Macaca mulatta: one gene and its partners. The protein of the gene in region 1 interacts with the protein of each later gene in a biochemical or structural test. Links are inferred from orthologs where the notes say so. Each region holds a gene or a part of one and is shown in the gene's direction. Other genes may lie near its edges.

What was found. The genes of interacting proteins can lie anywhere in the genome.
Region 2: the proteins of S100A6 (region 1) and CEP43 form a complex in vitro, tested with the Homo sapiens proteins (2 studies listed by BioGRID and IntAct, with this or other methods). The link is inferred for Macaca mulatta from reciprocal best matches to the Homo sapiens genes S100A6 and CEP43.
Region 3: the proteins of S100A6 (region 1) and CACYBP are reported together in a solved structure, tested with the Homo sapiens proteins (2 studies listed by BioGRID and IntAct, with this or other methods). The link is inferred for Macaca mulatta from reciprocal best matches to the Homo sapiens genes S100A6 and CACYBP.

What each region holds. Positions count from the first base shown.
Region 1 is NC_133406.1:113,504,955-113,512,386, forward strand, and holds S100A6 (protein S100-A6), read left to right. Parts: upstream 1-3,432; 5' UTR 3,433-3,550; exon of another isoform or gene 3,551-3,710; intron 3,711-4,138; 5' UTR 4,139-4,159; coding exon 4,160-4,297; intron 4,298-4,680; coding exon 4,681-4,815; 3' UTR 4,816-4,899; downstream 4,900-7,432. Other genes in the region: S100A5 (protein S100-A5), read left to right, coding at 2,104-2,244. UniProt on the Homo sapiens protein: May function as calcium sensor and modulator, contributing to cellular calcium signaling.
Region 2 is NC_133409.1:5,062,779-5,070,400, reverse strand, and holds part of CEP43 (centrosomal protein 43), read left to right. Parts: intron 1-3,368; coding exon 3,369-3,595; intron 3,596-5,808; coding exon 5,809-5,921; intron 5,922-7,564; coding exon 7,565-7,622. UniProt on the Homo sapiens protein: Required for anchoring microtubules to the centrosomes. Required for ciliation.
Region 3 is NC_133406.1:32,462,189-32,469,810, forward strand, and holds the end of CACYBP (calcyclin-binding protein), read left to right. Parts: intron 1-393; coding exon 394-613; intron 614-2,832; coding exon 2,833-2,929; intron 2,930-3,187; coding exon 3,188-3,287; intron 3,288-4,678; coding exon 4,679-4,776; intron 4,777-6,255; coding exon 6,256-6,412; 3' UTR 6,413-7,099; downstream 7,100-7,622. UniProt on the Homo sapiens protein: May be involved in calcium-dependent ubiquitination and subsequent proteasomal degradation of target proteins. Probably serves as a molecular bridge in ubiquitin E3 complexes. Participates in the ubiquitin-mediated degradation of beta-catenin (CTNNB1).

The sequences.
Region 1 (7,432 bases):
AACTGGTTCTCACCAGATGGAGGTGGCGTGAGGGAGGTGACTGACAGAGGGGAAGGCCCAGGAGGTTATTATAATACAATATCCCTGAGGATAAATATATATATATATAAATTTAAATATATATACATATACATATATATATATTTATTTATTTTTTTGAGACGGAGTCTTGCTCTGTCGCCCAGGCTGGAGTGCAGTGGCATGATCCTGGCTCACTGCAACCTCTGCCTCCTAGGTTCAGGTGATTCTCCTGCCTCAGCCTATTGAGTAACTGGGATTACAGGCACACACCATCATGCCCGGCTAATTTTTGTATTTTTAGTAGAGATGGGGTTTCACCATATTGGTCAGGCTGGTCTTGAACATCTGACCTCGTGATCCATCCGCCTCGGCCTCCCAAAGTGTTGGGATTACAGGTGTGAGCCACTGCGCCTGGCCAAGGATAAATAAGACTCTGTCACCCAGGTTAGAGTGCAGTGGTGTGCTCATGGCTCACTGTAGCCTTGAACTTTCAGGCTCAAGCGATTCTCTCACCTCAGCCTCCTGAGAAGCTAGGACTACAAGCGAGTACCACCATGATTAGATAATTTTTAAAATTTTTTGTAGAGATGGGGTCTCACTATTTTACCCAGGCTGTTCTTGAACTCCTGGTCTCTAATAATCCTATCGCCTCGTCCTCCCAAAGTGCTAAAATTACAAGCATGAGCCACTGTGCCTAGTCTTATTATTTTTACAGTTAAAAAAATCAATGCTCAAATGCATCAAATAACTTGCCTAAGGGGGCTGAACTGGAGTTCTGGGCCAGGCCGGTGAATTATCCTCCCTGTTTCCTTTAAAATTTGGCCTGGGTGCCTCTCCATCTATTACACCTTGAGCCCTGGTAGGCCCTCCCAGAAAGAAGGTCCACAGTGTGCCACATGGGCAGGGGACCAAAGCAGGGGTGGGCGTCCCCAGGCCTGATCTCTAGCTTCTGCCATGTTCCCTGCATCCTGGAGTTAATGAGGGCAAAGGGAGAGGCCACGGGTACAGTAGGGGTTAATTACAGAAGGAGAAACGCCCATGGGAGGGCCTGGCAATAACAGGAGCCCAGGCTGGGGACTAGGATCATATCACAGACAAGCAGTTTCCGCCTCCATAAGTCCCAATGTCTCCTGTGAAAACCTGTAGCTGATGGCAATGATGAGGAGACATCAGGATCTGCTTGTCTATATTTTCTTCCTGTTCCACCCAAAGGACCCTGACTCCATCGTCGTAGTGGAGCCAGGCTGGGACATCAGAGGACCAGACAAGAGTGCACAACTGGGCTCCAGGCAGGCCTCTTGCACAGCTCTCCTAGCAGCAGAGGGATGCAGTGGCTTCACAGCCCCGGTGCACTGCTCTCATTGAGAGACATTTTGTCTGGGCTTATTCTCACCTAGTCCTTAGAACGGGGAGAGAGTCACTCAGAGACTTGGATAACGCTCAGTGCCACATAATCAGCAAGGTTTTTTTTTGAGAAGGAGTTTCATTCTTGTTGTCCAGGCTGGAGTGCAATGCGCATGATCTTGCTCAATGCAACCTCTGTCTCTCAAGTTCAAGTGATTCTCCTGCCTCAGCCTTCCAAGTAGCTGGGATTACAGGGACGCACAATCATGCCCTGCTAATTCTGTATTTTCAGTAGAGATGGGGTTTCATCGTGTTGGTCAGGCTGGTCTTGAACTCCTGATGTCAGGTGATCTACCCGCCTCGGCCTCCCAAAGTGCTAGGATTACAGGTGTGAGCCACCGCGCCTGACCCAGCAAGCTGTTTTTATCAGGTGTTAGTATAAAACCCAGATGATTGTTTATTTGGCTGGGGGACAGTGTTGCAGGGAAGGCAGGATAGGCTAGCATTCCCGCTGTCATTTATTTCCATTCAGGAGTCAGGTCCCTGACCCCCTACTTCATGCCAGGCCCTTGCCTAGGTGTGGGCAGCAGGCAGACTCTGGGGGTCGAGATGCTGACAGTGTCACTGACTCAGCTGGGGCTCACACTGAGGTTTCAGGGTGGGTATGACACCATGCAGTGGTGCGAGGGCAGGGCTGGGAGTGGGGTCTGAGTTGTCCCTCCACCTGGGTCTGTGAAGATGAAGGACAACAGCATCGATGACTTGATGAAGAGCCTGGACAAGAATAGTGACCAGGAGATCGACTTCAAGGAGTACTCGGTGTTCCTGACCACGCTGTGCATGGCCTACAACGACTTCTTCCTAGAGGACAAGAAGTGACCCGGGCTGCCCTCCGCCCTTACCCTCCACCCCTTGCTGCTGACCTTGGCTGCTCCTCTCATGGACCCTCTTTGGCCCCCTGCCCTCCTCTCCCTCCCAGATGGACCCTTCCATGGGAGGAAATAAAGTTTCCATTGCAGGTGCTGGGAGTCTGGTTTTGAAGCTGTCTTGTCTACCTTGGCCTGGGGAGAGGGGAGCACAGGAGGGGTCTCTCCTTGAGTGGGTTGAGACAGCCTCTGCCTCTGGGGTTTAGGGTCCTGGGGTTTCACTGCATTCTTCTCCTTCCTTGGTGTGGATGTCTCATTGGTCTTGTCGTGGCTTAGTTTTGCCTGCCTGGAAAACGGGGAAGTCAGGCCAGGCGGGAACTCTGCAAGGATGCAGAGGAAGCTAAGAGGGAAAGTTGCTTTGAGAGGAGGACACTGGGAGGGGTTGGGAGTGGCAGGCAGGCCTGACTTGTCCATAGCTCACCTGAGGCCACCTTGGCAGCACCTTTAGGAAGGGCAAGTCTGGCCTCCACACCAGCCCCCTCCCTCTTCTCCATTTCCCCTTCAACAGCACCCCTCTCATCTTCTCTGGGGGCCAATGCTTTCTTCTTTCCCTACCTCCTCCATCGAAATCTTTTCACAGGGGAGGGTCTGAAATAACGAATGGTGCTTACAGGGCTGGGTTCCCGCCTGCATGCACACTAACACGAAAGGTGCTGTAGTGAATGGAATTTGGGGCAGTGAGGGGAAGGCGTGGAGATGTGGTAGGAACTTGTTGCTGGTGGGGGATGGGTGCCATAGATATCCTTTAGACTACAGGCTACTTCCCCTATCTCCTTTGGGGTGACCCTGAGTATTCTCTGAGGGACACCGGAATCCTGTGAGGCGCCCTCCTTGCCCACATTGACGCTGCGCTGGCTCGAGGGTCACATTCATGGTCTGGCAGAGGGAGCAGGGGTGACCGCCGCCGTCCGCCTCCTGCTCCCCTTGCCGAGTCACGTGTCACGAAGAGCAAACTGAGCAAAGTGAGCTGCGCAGATGAGGGGAGACTCGTCGTCACCGGGCTTGCAGTGGCATCTGCTGGGCTCCCCCATCCCGTCCTAACCCGGAACAGCCCCGGGCAGGAGGCGTGGAAAGTCGAGGGGAGAAACTGCGAATGTGTGTTGTGTAAGCCAAGGCGCAGGGTGGGGCGCGGGCGGGACTTGGGCGGGTGGGGTGGGCTTGGCCGAGCCTCCGGGGCATCGACCGCTATAAGGCCAGCCGGACTGCGACACAGCCCATCCCCTCGACCGCTCCCGTCGCACTTGGCCGCCTCCCTACCGGTGAGTTCTCGCCAGGAGCCCTGGGTACTTCCCAGGGCCAGCCGTCCTCACGCTGGGGCTCCAGCCATCCCCTGCCCCGTCCAGCTGCTGGATTCAGACTGGGGCCGTCTGTGGCGCTCCCCCGCTGGAGGGATAGTCAGAAGCAGCAGTGCTGTGCCAGGCAGGCCTTGGGCTAAGGGATCCCAATGGGGTGTGCTCTTTTGGGGTGCGGAAGGGAGTGCCCTGGGTGTGTCATTGCCACCACGTGTGGCCCTGTGAGGCTGTGCTTAAGCTGCCTGTGCAGCCTCTATCCCCTTCCCCTGCCCAGCCATACTCCCTAACTTCTGGATCCCCTGAAGGACAGTTCTCAGCTGTGCCCAAAGCTACTGTTCCTATATGCTTCTTAGAATCCTTAAGCCACCTCTCCTGCCTTGACCCTAGTCTTCTCTCTCCTTCCCCTTCAAGTCCTGGGCTGTCTCCTGATGCCATTGTGTGTGGCCTGAGACTGGGTGGTTCCAGAGGGGTCGGGGCTAGTGCAGGCAGCATTATGGGGCGGTGTGGGTGAGAAGTCCTTGCTCCCATGGCACTGACAAGGCCCTCTGCTGCCAGCTCCAAGTCCAGCCCTCAGCCATGGCATGCCCCCTGGATCAGGCCATCGGCCTCCTTGTGGCCATCTTCCACAAGTACTCCGGCAGGGAGGGTGACAAGCACACCCTGAGCAAGAAGGAGCTGAAGGAGCTGATCCAGAAGGAGCTCACCATTGGCTCGGTGAGTGGCCTCCTCTGCAGGACCCCTTTTCCCACCCTTGTCCTTTGGAAGCAGGATTAGGGGAGGGAGAGGTGCCAGGTGCATCTGACTCATATTTACCCACATTCTGAGGCCCTGGTCCACATGTCTTACTGAGCTGTAGACCCACTCTCCCAGAGGGTAGGGGATGCTCCCAGCCTGATATCCATCGCTCCAAATGAGGGCCAGTAACTGAGGAGTAGCTGAGGAGAAGTAATGCCAAAGTGAAACTCAAGGTGGACATAGGTCCTTGATGATGAGGGAGCACAGATCCACTTGCAGAGATGGCTGCCTGGGAGGGGGAAGCGGAAGAATCCAAGATTGTCATCACCACTGAGTCTGGATTTCACATTCTAACACGTTAGAAGCTGCAGGATGCTGAAATTGCAAGGCTGATGGAAGACTTGGACCGGAACAAGGACCAGGAGGTGAACTTCCAGGAGTATGTCACCTTCCTGGGGGCCTTGGCTTTGATCTACAATGAAGCCCTCAAGGGCTGAAAATAAATAGGGAAGATGGAGTCACCCTCTGGGGGTCCTCTCTGAGTCAAATCGAGTGGTGGGTAATTGTACAATAAATTTTTTTTTGGTCAAATTTACCCTTGTGTCCTGGTTTCCGAATTATTTCTGTTCCTCCTTGACTTAGTGGGGCACCAGCCATCGGAAGATTTGCTCATAGTCAACCTCTGAAAATGACTCATTGACTCGCCAGGCCAGGGGACCCACCCTGACAAGGCTCCCTCTAGCACATAAGGTGCCTTTATGTGAATGAGGAGAGATGCCCCTCTTGGCAATGCCATCCTAAGGAAAGCCTCAAGTGGTTTCCAGTAGAGAGTGTCCTGGGATGAGCTTGGAGATGGAAATGGTCCCTGGGCTGGGATGTGATGGAGTTTGGGGGCCTGGAAGTGGGGCAGAGATAGTCCCAGAGGCTCCCAGATGAGTTTTGCTCTGGGTGTGGCAAGAAGGGCCCTGGGGTGGGGCAAGTCCCCTTTCTCACCACAGTGCAGGGGGCAGATAGGACACATCTGAGATGCCTGAGGCTTGGCTGGGGGAGTTTCCTAGACCAGTGAGGACGCTGTGTGACTGAGTCTACTGCGGCTGCACAGGTCCCAGGTGGAGTTGGGGAGGCACACTCTAGGAGTGTGTCCCTGCATTCAGGGATGAGGGCCTTTTTGTTGGAATGGTGGTCTGAGGAGCTGGCAGCTGTACCAACACGTGAACCAGGGGGTGCTCAGTAATGGGGCGGGGTGTCTCTGCAGCCTCAGCATAATGACTCATTCGGCACTTCCACGGGATCCCAGCCTGGATCTCAGCCCCATCAGAGAAGATGACTAATTGAATTACTGTCCATCGTCTGCATTAGTGTTTTCAGGCAGGAGGGAAGAGGGTAAGGAGGGTAAATGCTGTTTCCGGATGATGCCACATCATTCAGCCTCTCTAGGCCTAGTCCGAGCTGGGCAAGTCCACCTCTAGCTCCTGGGGAAGAGATCTTGACTTTAGATGGAGACCACATCCTTCCGTCCCTCTCACCTCCCCCTCTTCCCTTGGGGGTCCAACTTTGTGGAATTAAGTTGTCTTCTGAATCCACTGGGTGGGGATTGGTAAACAGCTGGGAGCCGCACCTTCTTGGAGCCCCTCCTTCTCTATTGCCTCCCCTGTCCTGCAGGGAGAAGTCGCGCTGTTGGCTGCAAGAGACCGGGGACCGAATTCCCCCTCTGCACAGCCGTGCCCAAGCCTTGGCTCTATTCAGCTCCCTCTGGAAAAGTACGCACTCCCCAACCCCTCCCGCGCCCCGCTAGGTTCCCGCCCTACGCCCCTTTCCTCCCCCTTTCTTCCAGTTCCTCGCCGCCTATCTTCCAGTGGCGGACAACTTGGGGCTCGGAGCGAGCGCCCTCCTGTGAGCAGAGAGCAGCAGGCAGCGGGGACAGTCGGGTTAGTTTTCTTGAGCCTCTGGCAGGGGCCTGCCGTAGGTCTGTGGCCTGGCAGTCACCGAGTCCTTAGAAGAGGAAGACAGAATAGGGCGCCCCGGGAACGTCAGGGTAGGTGATCCTTTGGCTCCCGGCAATCAGCCCTAGAATTAAGCAACTTAGCTTCACAATCGACACACCTACCACAAGTAAGTCCATGAGGGAAAGGCAGTCCCTTTGTAAAGACAAATGGAATCTGAACCTGAACCCTGCGCCTCCCCTCCCCCACCTGCAACTCTTCTGCAAGGCTGGAAGACCTTCGTACAAATAAATGCTGCCTGCGGAGAGGGAAGAGGAAGCCCGCTGCTGCGGGGAGGGGATGCTCAGGCAAGGCAGTCCGCCCGGCGTTCCTGGGGAGCTCTGGTGGGTGGGCAGGCCACCGGTGCAGGGGAATCAACACAGGTGCACGGTCCACCTGCTAAGTAAACAGGCGTGTCCTTTCGCTTCTGCTTCTCCACAGTGGTGGAGGGGAACGGGAACATGGATTTCAAGAATAAGACAAAAAACAAAACAAACAGCAAATCTTTAGGGGTATAATTTTTAAGTTTTTTTTTTTTTTGGCAGGGGAGGGGAGGGAAGCAGTATTTACAATGGAATATGGTAGGTGCAGCAGTCAAATGGTGGAATTGGGTGTGGAGAGGTGCACAGACTGGACATTTTATTGCTCCAACCAACTTAAAGTTGGAATTGAATCCTTTTAGCTCACTGTTGAGTATGGTGTGGGCTTATAGGATGGGGAAAAGTTAGGATGTGAGCTGAGGGCTTCGTGAGAGGTCACTTTACTTTTCTGAAGGTTGAGCAGTGGGAGTGGCTCTACATCTCTCCACTTCCTTCAGCTGAGGTCAGCCCATTACTGACATTAATCCTACAATCTAACCACCCTAACGCCGGTGAAGCTGCAACAGCAGCACCACAGACCATCTCTGTAAGCTGGGGCGGGCCCCAGGTAAGGGGGTTTAGGACTGAGTTACAGGAAGTGGCTCTCTGTTTTTTGCCAAGCAAATAGGAAATTGTCAAGAATAATGCCACCATCTTTGTATAAGACCACACTTGTATAGCAACTTCGTTTTCATGAGGTGCCTGTCATAGCCATTGCGTCTGGTCATCTTCAGAAGATTTATGTATAGTACGTATTATTTTATTTTAATAGA
Region 2 (7,622 bases), on another chromosome or scaffold:
TTACAACGGTTTGATTTATGCTTTTTCGACTTTATGATGGTACAAAAGTGATATACATTAAGTAGATACCATGCATTGAGTTTTGATCTTTTCCCAGGACAGTAATTGGTGGTACGATTCTCTCTCGGGGCTGGGCAGTGACCTTGAGCCATGGCTTCCAGTCAGCCACATGGTCATGAATGTCCAACATTTTTTGGATGTTGTGTTTTTGCACTTCATCATGTCTATGAAGTGCCCATTTTCAACTTTGTGATATTTTCACTTGACAGTTTATCAGGTAAGGCCTTTTGTGGTTTGAGCATCTGTGTACACGCATACATCTGCTGTATACTTGGAGGAACCATTGAAACTACTCTCAACGTTTTCAGTTTGGTTTTAATCTGCAAAATGTGTTGATGACAAATATTTCTCCTCTGTGTAGATTTTTTAAGTAGTGAAGTTTATTTGGAATTAAGTTTAGTGAATTCATTAATAACCTAGCTGGGTAATGATCTTTTGGCAAAAATGAGCCATAGTTATAAAGCAGTAACATGTTACTGTGTGGTTTAGAACTTGATTTTGAGAGCAGTTCCAAAGCAGATTGTTTCAGAATTTATTTTTACTTCCTGGATTAAGAGAACTATATTTTTAAAACAAAATAATTATGTTATGTTTACAAGTATGTGTTGTGTAATATAGTAATTCTCTGTAAAACTTGTCTTCCTAAAACTGGTCTTTCTGTCCATAGCAGGAATATTGGTCAAACCTGTCAAAAAATAATCATGGATACCTATTAGTTGTTCAGCTTTGATATTAGATAGTTCATTATGTGGATTTAAGTTACGTTGGCAGTGTGAATTCTTGGGGAAATCAGCATAATTATTGTTTCTCATAATGTTGCTTTACATTTACATTTTTCAGTTTCTTTCATGCCAGTTATTCTTTGGTACTTTCTCATGAGTGTTTAGAAGGGGAATCTGTCATGGCCATAGGCTCTGTCATTGTACATATGTTTAAATGTCACATCAGGGTATTTATTTCCAAATGCATATTCTTTTAAATAAATCCATTATTAATGTAAAAATCAGAAATTACAACTGGTGTGAATTACATACTTTTCGATATTTGATAATACCAGGAAAACGTCAAGAAAGTTGTTAGGAAATTTTTGAAAGTTTCTGCCTCTTTGAAAATATGTTGTCTAAAATTATAACTTGGTATTTATTTTTTCAGACATCTCTTTATAATCATTAATTTATATTAATAAAATGGAATGTATAGCTCTCTAGAAGGCACTAAATTTGCACAGCATGTATCTTGCCTACTGTCAACTAGTCAAGACCTCTACCTGGTGTAAAGATGTAAACGTATATCATAAGACATGCATAATGCATTCTGTCTGTACCCATATGAAAAGTGAAACCATCCTTCAAGAGCATCTTGTTTGATGATGTCTAACCCAAACTTTGGTCACCATGCTTCAGTAGTTACTACTCTTTAATTCTTTCTCAGCCATCCATCCCTTCTTTCTTAACTCCTAGATATAATTTGGTCTGAAAAATACGAATCTAGTTCAATTCTTGAGGAAACTCATGCCTAGGAAATTAATTTACTTAAGATTATATGGGCCGGGCACGGTGGCTCACGGCTCATACCTATAATCCCAGCACTTTGAGAGGCCAAGGCGAGTGAATCACTTGAGGTCAGGAGTTCGAGACCAGCCGGGCCAACACGTCGAAACCCCATTTCTACTAAAAATACAAAAATTAGCCGAGCGTAGTAGCACACGCCTGAAATCCCAGCTACTTAGGAGGCTGAGGCAGGAGAATTGCTTGAACATGGCAGGCAGAGGTTGCAGTTAGCGCATTTAGCCCAGATCACCCCACTGTACTCTAGCCTGGGTGACAGAGCGAGACTCTGTCTCAAAAAAAAAAAAAAAAAAAAAAAATTATACGACTGGGTGTAGTTTGTGCCTGTAATCTCATAAACTCAGCTACTTGGGAGACTGAGGCAGGAGGATTGCTTGAGCCCAGGAGTTTTAAGATCAGCCTGGGTGACATAGTGAGACCCTGTTTCTTTAAAAAAAAAAAATGCAGTTAATAATTTTGGACTACATTCCAGATTCTTTGTTTCAGTTGAGTGCTTTTTCTAGTACTCCAGGTATTTTACACAATACTGCTCTCTTTAGTACACAAGGCTGACTTTTGGGAAATTGCCATTTTTAACCCATAAAGCCCACAAATTCATTATAATTTAGCCGAATAGCATAAATATTGAGTTAACCTCTGGAATCAGGCTTTGACTTTGATATTGACCTTACCACTTAACTAACTGGAGACTTTGACAAGTGACATAAATGTCTGTCTCTGTGTTTCCTTATTTATATCCACAGAGATAAAGCTATCTCCAGATCATAGGGCCATTTTGAAGATTAAATGAGATAAGGTGAAGCATTTGAATGTTCACCATAAATGTTAGCTGCTTTTTATTATTACTACTTTTTATTATTACTAGCATTATTTATTTTTTCATTATTATTGTTAACATAGACCCGTCTAAGGGCAGAAAGAAATCTGACCAAGAATGGCGTGAAAGTCAGCCGTGAAGGTTAGGACTCCCTGAAAATAAGAAAAGAAAAGTGGTAACATCACTCTATATCCAAGGGCATGGATAAGGATGATTCAGAATTTTTTTTATAACGTTGTGTTAAGATATGTAGAGAAATATACACGTACACACACATAGATATATATGTCCATGGACATCAAAATAAGTATAGGTTAGGAAGTTACCCTGGAAGTCAGAATTGAGATAATTATTTTAATTAGCAAATGTTTATGTTTGAGTGGTTGAAGGCAGTGTCTTTCACCTTGATGCCTGTTGTGTTTAGCACTGGATGGAAAATGGCTATTTTTACGAATGACTACTTTAATGCTTGGTTCATTCATATGTAATCTTTCTTTTCTCCTTTAATAGTAGTGGTCTCTCCTGTTTTCAAGTTGAAAAATGTATTAAGGTAATTTATAAAGCAATGACATATGGAAGAGGAGATGGGAAATTGTTTCTCAATGGGAAAGTGTTTATAAATGGGATAGGTATACTAAAGCTATTTCCATTTAGGGAAAGAGGAAAGGAATGGTATTAATATATTTCTCTAATATTTTTCCACCTTTGAAAGTTTGCCATGTTAGGAATCCTGGGGATGGAGTGATGAATCATGGCATTGGTCTGCAGTTCACACTGCTGGGAGCCGCCCCCCCCCCCCCACACACACACAGAGGTTGCACACACACAAACACAGGTTTCCTTATGCTCATGCGACTTCTTTTATTATTTAAAATATCTTAAAGTTTTATCTCACCAAGGAGGCCTTTTCTCTTTCTTTCTAGAAAGCCAACAATGAGGCCAATCAGAGTGATACAAGTGTCTCTCTGTCAGAACCCAAGAGCAAAAGCAGCCTTCACTTACTGTCCCATGAAACAAAGATTGGATCTTTTCTAAGCAACAAAACTTTAGATGGCAAAGACAAAGCCGGCCTTTGTCCAGATGAAGATGATATGGAAGGAGATTCTTTCTTTGATGATCCCATTCCCAAGCCAGAGAAAACTTATGGTTTGTGAGTAAATAGTTTTTGAACTGTGAGACTGGGGGTTTAAAAATAAATGTTTTCATTTTGTAGTTAAAAAATAATGAACTATGGATGGTTTATAATTATTGGATCCATAAATCTGATTATGCATTGTTAATGCCTTTGATGTTGTAAAACAACCCCAGGTTTTAGAAAAACCTAGACATGATTTATTCTAACAGGTAAGTGTAGATTGTCAGCCACTTGCCAGGGCTGTTCCAGGGTGGGGTACAGCAATGATAGAAGAGGAAGACTCCTGCCCTCAGGAAGCTCCCGCTCTGGCAACGGAGTCAGGCAATGAGGGTTATGCTGCGGTGTGTTGGGTGATGAGAGCAGAACAGTGATGGAAGCCGAAGTGTGTGGTCAGGGCAGGTGCATGTCAGCTGTCCAAATTGGAGGGGGCCTCACTTGGAGCTGCCCAGTAAGCAAAGAACTAGAGGAGATGAGGGAGTTGCCATGGGTTGATGGAGCTCTGGGGAGAGGAAACAGCAGACAGCAGAGAGGTGAGTGGGGACGTAGCAGAGAGAGCAAGATGGGGATCAGATGAGGTGGACTCAGAGATGAGAGGCTGGATGGCTTTCCTTTGAGACTGGAAGCCCTGAGGGTCTTGATCTAGCGTCCATTACAGAAGGATCCCAGGGTTGCTGAGGAAGGTTGGACTTGGAGTTTCCAGGTAGGAGGCCATTAATGATTATTCAGGTGAGAAGTGATAGAAGTGGTGGGGAGAAACAGGTGGGTTTTAGAAGTATTTTGAGGTTAGATGGAAAAGGATTTGCCAGTAAGTGCTAGAGAAAAAAGTAATATCCAGAGTGGCATCATGGTTTTTAGCCTGCAAAACTAGAAGGTTGGAAACCCATTAGATGAAGAATGGCAAGAGGAAGAGTGGATTGCACAGACAGGTGGCATGAAAGCCTGGAGGCCCCTGTCGCTGTGCTAAGTTAGAGAAGATTGCTAGTGGAAATCCGAAGTAGGCGATTGGGTATGTGAGTTGGGATTGGGAGAGGTCTAGGCTGCAGATGTAAATTAGGAGTCTTCAGTTTGTAGATAATGTGGGTGTGGGAGACTACAGAGGATCACCAAGGAAGCAGGTCCTGCACACCTTGAGGCCAGAGTAGGGAGCTGGAAGCAGTGGAGGAGATGGAACCAGGAGAGTGGTGTCTTTGGAGGTGGCGGTAGGGAGGAGTAGCTGTATGATGCCATTGGATTTAGCCATCTGGAGGTCAGTGATGACCTTGACACAGTTTTGTTGGAATGGGGGTGTGAGGCAGGTGAGAGAATTAGAGTACATTCAAGACAGGAAAGGATTGTAGATGACAGATAGTTTTCTGATGAGTTGTAAAAGTGTGCAGAGGAACAGGGTGGTGGCTGGTGGGGTAGGATTTAGGGCTGAAAAGCGTGTTTAGGTGGGAGAAAGAACAGCATGTATGCAGACGAACACTGCTCAGCTTTAAAGATGGAAGAATTAATGATGTAAGGGAGTGAGAGGAGAACTCCTGGAGGCCTGCACAGCAATGGAATCCCATGCAGGGGCTTGTGTTTGCTGGAAAAGTGGAGAGCGTGTGGGTCCCGTTGTAGGCAGGGGGTGGATATGATGGTGGCACCTGTGCAAGCTGTCACCGTAGTTCATAGTTGCATGAGGATGGAGGACGGAGGTTGCGATTTGAAGAGAGCGGAGAAAGTGTGAAATCTTTCTATAACAAAGTAAGGCGAGAAGGGACTGTGGAAACCTGGGGGGTGTTGGGCAGTGTTAAAGGTACCCTTGAGGTTAGTGGTCATGACTTTAAGGGGAGTTCATCAGCATGGCTGTTTGTGGTTTCTGTAAACAATATTTAATCTGTGAGGTGGCACTTATTTGCTAGTAAACTCCTGTATTGTCCCTTGGCTGCATGTCTGGGTGATGGAAAAGGGCTTCTGGAAAAAATCACAGTGCAGAGGTCAATTTAGTTTATAAGATTATCAAACAGAATTCTAAAGAGAGGTGAGCTGATTTCTTACACCCTGGCTGTGCTGATTGTGGTTGATCTGTAGTTTGCACTCCCTTGGTATACTTTATGGTTTTGAATTTTTAAAGTCTATATTCTTGATTTCCAGCCACTGTGCATATAAAGTATCTTTTAAGTTGCTTTTGTTTCAGTGGCAGGATAAAAGTGTTTAGTGGCAGAACATAAGAGCACCGATTAACTGTCCTTGTTTCTTGCTAGGAGGAGTGAACCTAGGAAGCAACCAGGAAGCCTGGCCTCGCTCTCGGATGCACCCCCCTTAAAAAGTGGACTCAGCTCCCTGGCGGGGGCCCCTTCCTTAAAAGACTCTGAGAGTAAGTGCCCAAAGATGTGGGCTTGAATACTCGGGATATTTTTTCTCTAATTAAGCACTATATGATTATTGTTGATTTTTTTTTTCCAGGAAAATCACTAAAATAACCTATAATTTTATCACTCAGAAATCTTTCCTGTTAATATTTTGTTACTTCTTATGTGGTCATATTTTATATGTTGTTTTGTATTCTGCCCCTTCCTATACCTACATACCATCGGAATACTTTTTAGTTGATTTTTTAGCTGATTTGTATTATCTATAGAAATATAATTTTTAAATCATCTCTCCTTTTTTGGACATTTACAGTGACTTGAGTCGGATTTGCTTTCAATTAATTTTAAAAAATTTGTTTAGTGATACCACAGTAAGTATCATAAAATGTTAAATAAAAAATTATTCTGCAGATCATTTTCAAGAATGACCTGACATGTCATCGTAAATGCAGCAGAGCTAAAGAGCACTGATTACATGTGGAATAGTCTAGCTCTGGCACTAGTTACTTTCCCACCTCTCCCCACACAGTGATAGGAATTTAAACAGCATAGCCCTGAACAGGTAGGATGGGCAGAGGTCCTTTGGAAACCATATAATAGTAAATGTTGTATTTAATTAGCATAGTGTTTCAGAGCTTCGTGTACCTCTTTTGGAAAGTTTCCAAAAGTAGATTCACTAGGAATTTGCAGTATGAGTTTTGCATAATTGTCCAGTACTTCCGAATCTTTTTGTATTGCTTGATATACTGTGGGACTTCCTAGGGCACATAAGAGAGCCGACCTCTTTCTTCTCTTAAACCAGCCATGTATTTATAAGGTTCGTATCCCTTCCCATTTGCTTCTTTCCTGTGGTTACTGCCACCTTTAAGAAAGGAATCCAGGACATCATGAACGTGTCATTCTGACACTGATTAGAGAATGATCATTTAGAGAGGACGTTGAGAACGAAGGACCAAAAACCAGTGAGGATTGTCACTTTAGTAAATGAAATAGCAGTTGCATTGAAGAAAAATTTAGAAGTTCAAAGGAAAAATAAGATTCACGAAAATAATTAACAGTAGTCTATGAATTCATACCTAACAGGGCTGTTTATGGAAAGTGATGTCTTATAATTAGGCAAAAATATTTTTTGGTGGTTGTGTTCCAATAAAGTAGTATTGTTTATGGTTTAAAAAGGGTTGTAGCCGGGCGCAGTGGCTCATGCCTTTAAACCTAGCACTTTGGGACGCCAAGGCGGGTGGATCACAAGGTCAGGAGTTTGAAACCAGCCTATCTAACATAGGGAAACCCTGTCTCTACTAAAAATACAAAAATTAGTCGGGTGTGGTAGCACGTGCCTGTAGTCCTAGCTACTTAGGAGGCTGAGGCGGGAGAATCGCTTGAACCTGGGAGGCGGAGGTTGCAGTGAGCCGAGGCTGCGCCATTGCACTCCAGCTTGAGTGACAGAGTGAGACTCCATCTCAAAAAAAGGGTTGTAATGCATAGTTTAAGCATTCATTAATCACAGTTTATTTTTTCCTTAGTTTTAGGTTATTATGCTCCTGTCATAAAGAAGCCCCCATATTGAACAACAACAAAAATTGATGTGGTTTAGAGACTGTTGTATTCTAAAAGTCACTCTAATGCTAGTATTTTTTCCTGTTCACAGGTAAAAGGGGAAATACGGTTTTGAAAGATCTGAAATTGATCAGTGATAAAATTGGATC
Region 3 (7,622 bases), about 81 Mb from region 1:
AAAGTGTCTAACATCTGATGACACTCGGATTAGATGTTAAAGGAAATCTCTGAATCCCTTGTCAAAAAAAAGTCTTTGTTTTACTGTTTAAATCGCAGATGTTTCTTGTAAATATTTTAAAGCAAATATAAACTGGAAAATTTGGGTTTGATTACCTTATTTATTGTTTGTTCAAGATTGTTCAAAGTTTTCCTTTTGGGAAAAAAAGGAAGCTTGAGTTAATTACAGTTAATAAGCTGGAGGGAAGAACTGAAGTTGCAACTCAATCCTAGAAAATTTAGATGAACCTCTTAATTTTTAGTGCTTATTTCAGTAAGTTGAAATGAGTGATAAGCACAATATCAAGCTATTTCCTTATTGATCATAGCTAACTTATTTTTTGTCTTAACACAGCTACAGAAAGATCTAGAAGAGGTAAAGGTGTTGCTGGAAAAGGCTACTAGGAAAAGAGTACGTGATGCCCTTACAGCTGAAAAGTCCAAGATTGAGACAGAAATCAAGAACAAGATGCAACAGAAATCACAGAAGAAAGCAGAACTTCTTGATAATGAAAAACCAGCTGCTGTGGTTGCTCCCATTACAACGGGCTATACAGTGAAAATCAGTAATTATGGTATGACTTGCTTCCCTGTGGCCAGTTTTGCCTCCGAGCAACCTATTCCTCATAGTGATCTAACAAATTCATCTTTAAATGAGTTTTGAGGCTGTGTTTTCGGTGGCTTGGAGGAAGACCCATCAGTTTTTATTTAATAAAACTTTCTTTAGATAGAAATAGGAAAGGATACATTCTAGAAGCTGTTAACAAGAATAAGGTGATTTACTACAAAGATGAGGAGTAGCAACAAGGAAGGAACTTATTCTGAAATTATTCAGTATATATGAGGCACCGCTTTGGTGGTGGTGGTGGTTTTTAATCATGTTTTATGTTTCACTCTGCCAACCACTACAATTAACTGAGGAGAGGAATCCAGTTAAATTCAGGAAATATTTTTGAGCACCTAATGTATATCACTATTGTGCTTGGACTTACGGATACACAACAGTGACTAAGACCCAATCCTTTCTCATGGTGTGGTTGGGACATAGACGTATAACTCATAGCATAACAATGTATTAGCAAAACAGTATTAGCAAAAACTAATACTGTTTTCCTTCAGTGGTGTATATAGTGTTTTTGTTTTGGCGGCAGTGCAACTTCAGTGAGAGTGATGAGCTCTCATTGGAGCAAGGACAGTCTGGTTTTTCTTTGTGCTAATAATGTCTAGCACATAATAGGTAACATAGCTGAGGAAATAATTCTGGAGGTGAGGAACAGGGAGAATTAGATGAGTGTGAAGGGTGAGCTGTACGTTCAGCAAAAGGAAGGGAACAGCATGAGCAGAGGACATGAATAGAGACTTGGAAGGCATGATCTATTTTGAGTATTGTTATAGTGAAAAGCATGTGTATGTCGTGCTTAAGTGATGTACTATATAGTACTACATGAAATTGCACCGTGTACTCAGTTGAGTATGGGAAACTGGTCTGAAGGTGTTTAGGATTATGGCATTTTAACCAGGAACATAGATTTGTGTTGAGGGAGAAACTTGTCAAACCGGAGGATGGACTGACTGGGAAGAAACTATTAATAAATGAAGTTCTCTGGAACCCTCTAGGGCATTTTTTTGATCAACACTATGTTTCTTTTTAATTTTCGTGGGTACATAGTAGGTGTATGTATTTATGGGGTACATGAGATGTTTTGATACAGGCATGCAGTGTGAAAACATGTCATGGAGGATGGGGCATGTTTCTATTCCGTAGGACTAAGTGAGGAAGAGTCAGGGATATGTATGTATATATTCTTGATAAACAGAAGATGCTTTTTGTGAAGTTTTTTATTTTCTACAAATACGATGGTATTTTGTGAAGCGTATATGTCTTGTATGTTGACAGAGTTCTTCTAGGTTAGAGACTTGCTGGTAGGTTGATAATACATACTGAAATGGCATTTAATAGATACCAGTAGGTTTGTCAGATTTGGATGAAGAATTGGAGTCGTTTACATTCTGTTTTGCCCTGGAAAGGAATTAAGAGCGCTAGGATTCCATTTGTTATACTACTTAGAGAAGTAGAAATGGTTATGGAATTAGACAGTATTGATACTTAGCCATCCAGCTTAGTGGAGAACTACCGATATTTAGATGTAGGACAAAATTGTTTCCATAAAAGCAGTAAATGAACTAATCTTTTTTTTTTTTTTTGAGACAGAGTCTCGCTCTGTAGCCCAGGCTGGAGTGCAGTGGCCGGATCTCAGCTCACTGCAAGCTCCGCCTCCCGGGTTCACGCCATTCTCCGGCCTCAGCCTCCCGAGTAGCTGGGACTACAGGCGCTGCCACCTCGCCCGGCTATTTTTTGTATTTCTTAGTAGAGACGGGGTTTCACCGTGTTAGCCAGGATGGTCTCGATCTCCTGACCTCGTGATCCGCCCATCTCGGCCTCCCAAAGTGCTGGGATTACAGGCTTGAGCCACCGCGCCCGGCCGAACTAATCTTAAAGAATGTATTTAGTGATCGTATTTTTATTCTGAAGGATAAAAAGAGCATAGGCTTTGTATTCAGAAACCTGGATTTGAATCTGAATTCTATCACTTGTTAGATGCCTAACTTTGGGTAGAGTACTTAACTGCTTTGAGGCTCCATTTCTCAACCTAGAAAATTTCTTGGGTTTCAAATTTTTGTATGACTGGATTTTCATAATTTTACTTTCCTGAGTTATGAGCCATGTGCATTTGCTGTTCTAGAGATAGTTTCAGAGACTTACTTATGTCCCATCTTTTGTTGTCGTTGCCAGGATGGGATCAGTCAGATAAGTTTGTGAAAATCTACATTACCTTGAGTGGAGTGCATCAAGTTCCCACTGAGAATGTGCAGGTGCATTTCACAGAGAGGTGAGTTCTCATTATATTGGGAAAGACGATGATCATTAACAGTCAACATTGCCTTATCTTGAGACTCTTTTCTTTGCAGTTTTTAAAATTCTTCTTAAATTTAGAATTAATTATCCTTTACAACTACTTTCAAGAGGTGAGCATTAACTGGCCAAATGCACACCCTGAAATAAAGCTAGCAGCTTTTTTTCCACTCTGATGGAGTAAGAGTACCTTTCATAGAACTAGAAAGATGATGTATTCACCATTGTGTTGCAGGTCATTCGATCTTTTGGTAAAGAATCTAAATGGGAAGAGTTACTCCATGATTGTGAACAATCTCTTGAAACCCATCTCTGTGGAAGGCAGTTCAAAAAAAGTGAGTGCTTTTTTTGGTCGTAATATTCTGAAACCTTACCAGATTGAACCTAGCTGATTTAGAATTGAGATGAACTGGAATGAATTTGTCCTGTAACAGGGACCACTGCCTGTTTAGTGAATGTTTCATTGGGACATAGCCAGGCTTATTTGTTTGTGTGTTGTTTGTGGCTGCTTTTGTGCTACAATGGCAGAGTTAAATGGCTGCAGCAGACCACATGGCCCTAAGTGAAACCTAAATATTTACTGTGTGGTCCTTGACAGAGAACATTTGCCAACTCCTTTTGTAGAAGAATAGGCTGTTGTAAGAATATTCCATTAAAATCAGGAAGGAAGTAAACGTTTGAAGGTAGTTAAGAGTGAGACTTGAGTTTTATGCCAGGTTTACCGCTTATTGTTTGTGACCTTTGGCAGCTTAATCACTCTGTGCCTCAGTTTCTGCATTTATGCAATAGTAATAATGTATTTCACAAAGTTGAAATGATACACTGAAGTGCAATACCATATGTAAAGTGCTTAAATTAATGGTAGTGTTGGCATTGTGCATAATACTCATATACATAAAAGGAGGTCTTAAGCACTTAGCCTCCTTGGAGTTAGAAACAGCTATAAAAATAAGGAAACTGTCTTTTAAAAACTACTCTTTATAATTTTTACTAAATCAGATAGTCCCTCTTTTCTGCCTAATTTGAATAAATGAAGTTTAATGCATTAGGTATATACATATGCCATTCTGCCATCTGTTTTTATAATACATAATTACTTAACAGCTTACAGGTGATACTCAAATATAGTTGGATTTGCTGTATTCCTGCACCCTTCCGCATCCACTAGTCCCGTACGTAGAGTACCAAAAGATCCCTAGAAGTCGTGTTGATCATTGTTTAAAGACCTGTACATTCATTGCCCTTCTTTCACACTTTCCAAATGCCTCACCTTGCTCCATACTGCCTTATGTGACTTGGTTTCTTGCCTATCCTCGACCCCTCTTATTATATTACTATCTCTCTCAGTCACTAAAATCCAGCCACTCCTCCTGCTCCTCAAACACACGAAGATCATCCCATCTTGGAGCCATTCTACATGGCTCTGCCAGCTGCCTTCTCCTGACCTTAAGCTTCAGCTCAGATTTTGCCTCAGGGAGGCCTTCCTAATGAAGTTCCTGCTCCCACCCCCATTAACACCTGCTTTGTCTTGCCAGCACTTTCTAGGATATGACGGTATTCAAGTTTTACTTATTTACGGTCTTTTCACGCCATGAATGTTCAGATTTTGGCCTATTCATACAAGTATTACTAGCACCCCAAATAAGTCTATACATACTAGGGACTTGATTAATTAAATAATTGTTTTGTCTTCTAAGCTGTATTTGTTTTCCCGCTTTTCTTCCAGGTCAAGACTGATACAGTTCTTATATTGTGTAGAAAGAAAGTGGAAAACACAAGGTGGGATTACCTGACCCAGGTTGAAAAAGAGTGCAAAGAAAAAGAGTGAGTCTACTTTCATTTTTTAAAGAATTTTAGTGTATTGTTTCAGATCATAGATTTTTAAGTTTGTCTTTATGGATAATATATTTCTGCTTTCAACTGTCAGAAACTACCTGAAGAGGGCGCGTCCAGCAAGTTGCTTTTTAAGGTCTTTGTAGTTAACAGTTGGCTCTTTAGTGTGGTTGTTAACCCTAGGCACTTCTATACAAATACTGTGCCTATTCCCAGATACTCTGTTTCAGTAGTTCGAGAGAGGCTCAGATACCCCTGTATGTTTTAAATTTCTCAGATGTTTGTGATACGTAGTTGTTTTCATTGTCACTGGTTTAGAGTGAAAAAGATAAAATATTTTTATCCTCCTTAATAATGACCTTTTAAAAATGTTTATTCAATGATACTTGCATTCTAGGTCAGTTCATCTTCTAGAGGTACTGACTAATTCAAGACTCAGGTCCAGATCTGTGTATCTCAGGCTTAAGAGGAGAGCTTTTCTAATTATAAAATACATGAGCTTCAGGGTACATCCATGTGTAATGTTTGTGATTTTCCCTCAATTTTTTTTTTCCAAATTATGAGGAAACATGCTTTTAAAAAATGAAAACAAGTTAGAAAATCAAATCTTTACTTTTTTTTTTTTTTTTTTGAGACAGAGTCTGGCTCTGTTGCCCAGGCTGGAGTGCAGTGGCCGGATCTCAGCTCACTGCAAGCTCCGCCTCCCGGGTTCATACCATTCTCCTGCCTCAGCCTCCCGAGTAGCTGGGACTACAGGCGCCTGCCACCTTGCCCAGCTAGTTTTTTGTATTTTTTAGTAGAGACGGGGTTTCACTGTGTTAGCCAGAATGGTCTCGATCTCCTGACGTAGTGATCCGCCCGTCTCGACCTCCCAAATCCTTACTTATTTTACCTGTTAAAAATGAGGCCAGGCGGGGTGGCTCATGCCTGTAATCCTAGCATTTTGGGAGGCCGAGGCGGTGGATCACCTGAGGTCAGGAGTTTGAGACCAGCCTGGCTGACATGGTGAAACTCCATCTCTACTAAAAATACAAAAATTAGCCGGACATGGTGGCACGTGCCTGTAATCCCAGCTACTTGGGATGCTGAGGCAGACAGAATTGCTTGAACCTGGGAGGCGGAGGTTGCAGTGAGCCAAGATCGCACCACTGCACTCCAGCCTGGGTGACAGAGCGAGACTCCGTCTCAAAAAAAAAAAAAAAAAAAAAAAAACATGGGAAATCCCTGTGCCTAAAAACAGCCCCTTACTATTTTGATGACCTCTTTCATGCACCAAGTGTGTGCATGCTTGGTAGGTGTGTGGTGTTTTCATTAAGATGAACTTAGGCGTGCCATTTTGATTGTGAATATCTTTGGATACACTGTCTTCCCTCTTATCCCTCTACTTCCTGCCAATGTTAACAACCTGAATTATAGTATCTTCCCCCGTGCCTTCATTTCTCCATTGTTGTATATATTTTCTTTTTAAAGGAAGCCCTCCTATGACACTGAAACAGATCCTAGTGAGGGATTGATGAATGTTCTAAAGAAAATTTATGAAGATGGAGATGATGATATGAAGAGAACCATTAATAAAGCCTGGGTGGAATCAAGAGAGAAGCAAGCCAAAGGAGACACGGAATTTTGAGACTTTGAGGTCCTTTTGGGAACTGTGATGTGATGTGGAAATACTGATGTTTCCAGTAAGGGAATATTGGTGAGCTGCATATATAAATTTGACAGATAGCTATTTACATAGCCTTCTAAGTAAAGGCAGTGAATTCTCCATTTCCTACTGGAGGATTTATTTAAATAAAATATGCTTATTAAACACTCCTGCAAAGATGGTTTTATTAGTACCTTGGTCATTTTGTTCAAGGAAGGGTTATAATTGCATTCTCATGTGAAATATAAAAAGCAAGTCTTGCCCAATAAAAACGCTACATTGTGTGTATTTTTTGTTCAGCTAAGAATTGGAAAAGTATTTGCTTGCCTTTAAGTTACTGACATCAGCTTCCACCAGTGTAAAAATTGAGTAAAACCTGAAGTTTTGCATAAAATGCAGATCGGTACCTGTGCTTGAAGGTTGCTGTAGAGCATCTGACCCCTTATTACCACCTTAAGCAATGTGTATGCCATGCATTACCATGCACTAATTCAATCACAGGTGTTTCTATCTAGATTGAAATATGTTTGTCAATGAATATAGAATAGAAACTAAATCTAAACATGACAATAATAGACACACATCTTTGTATGGTACCAGTTAGTTTTGCCGTGGATCAGATGGTTTATGAAAGTAATAACCATAAAGCAAAAAATAATCTGAAAGCCCGTCTATTCCTATGCTCAATAAAGTTAAGTTTTTCTTCATTAGAACAGTTTTATGATTTATTTGCCTAGGAGTATGTCAGAAAAATGAGGCTTCTAGTAGGAATTATTCCTATTGCCCCTGAAGTCAGGACCAGTGCCTGTGATCTCCATTACTATATTTTATTGGAGGTATTAACCAACACAGTTAGATCAGAGAAAGCAATTGAAGCCAGGCATGGAGGCTGGTGCCCATAATCCCAGCTACTCAGGAAGCTAAAGCTGGAGGATCACTTGAACCCAGGAGTTTAAAGCTGCAGTGAGCTATGATCATGCCACTGTACTCCAGCTTGGGTAACAGATTGAGAGCCTGTCTCATTTAAAAAAAAAAAAAAGCCATTAGACACACAGGAAAAATCCAAAAGGGTAAACTAAAGCCACAATTAATATGGGAATTTGGAAAAAGTGGTAGGATTTACAATACAGCAACAGCTTATGTATAGGATAGCTGTAAGTAAATACTGAAACACATTATGCCTCTGTAATTG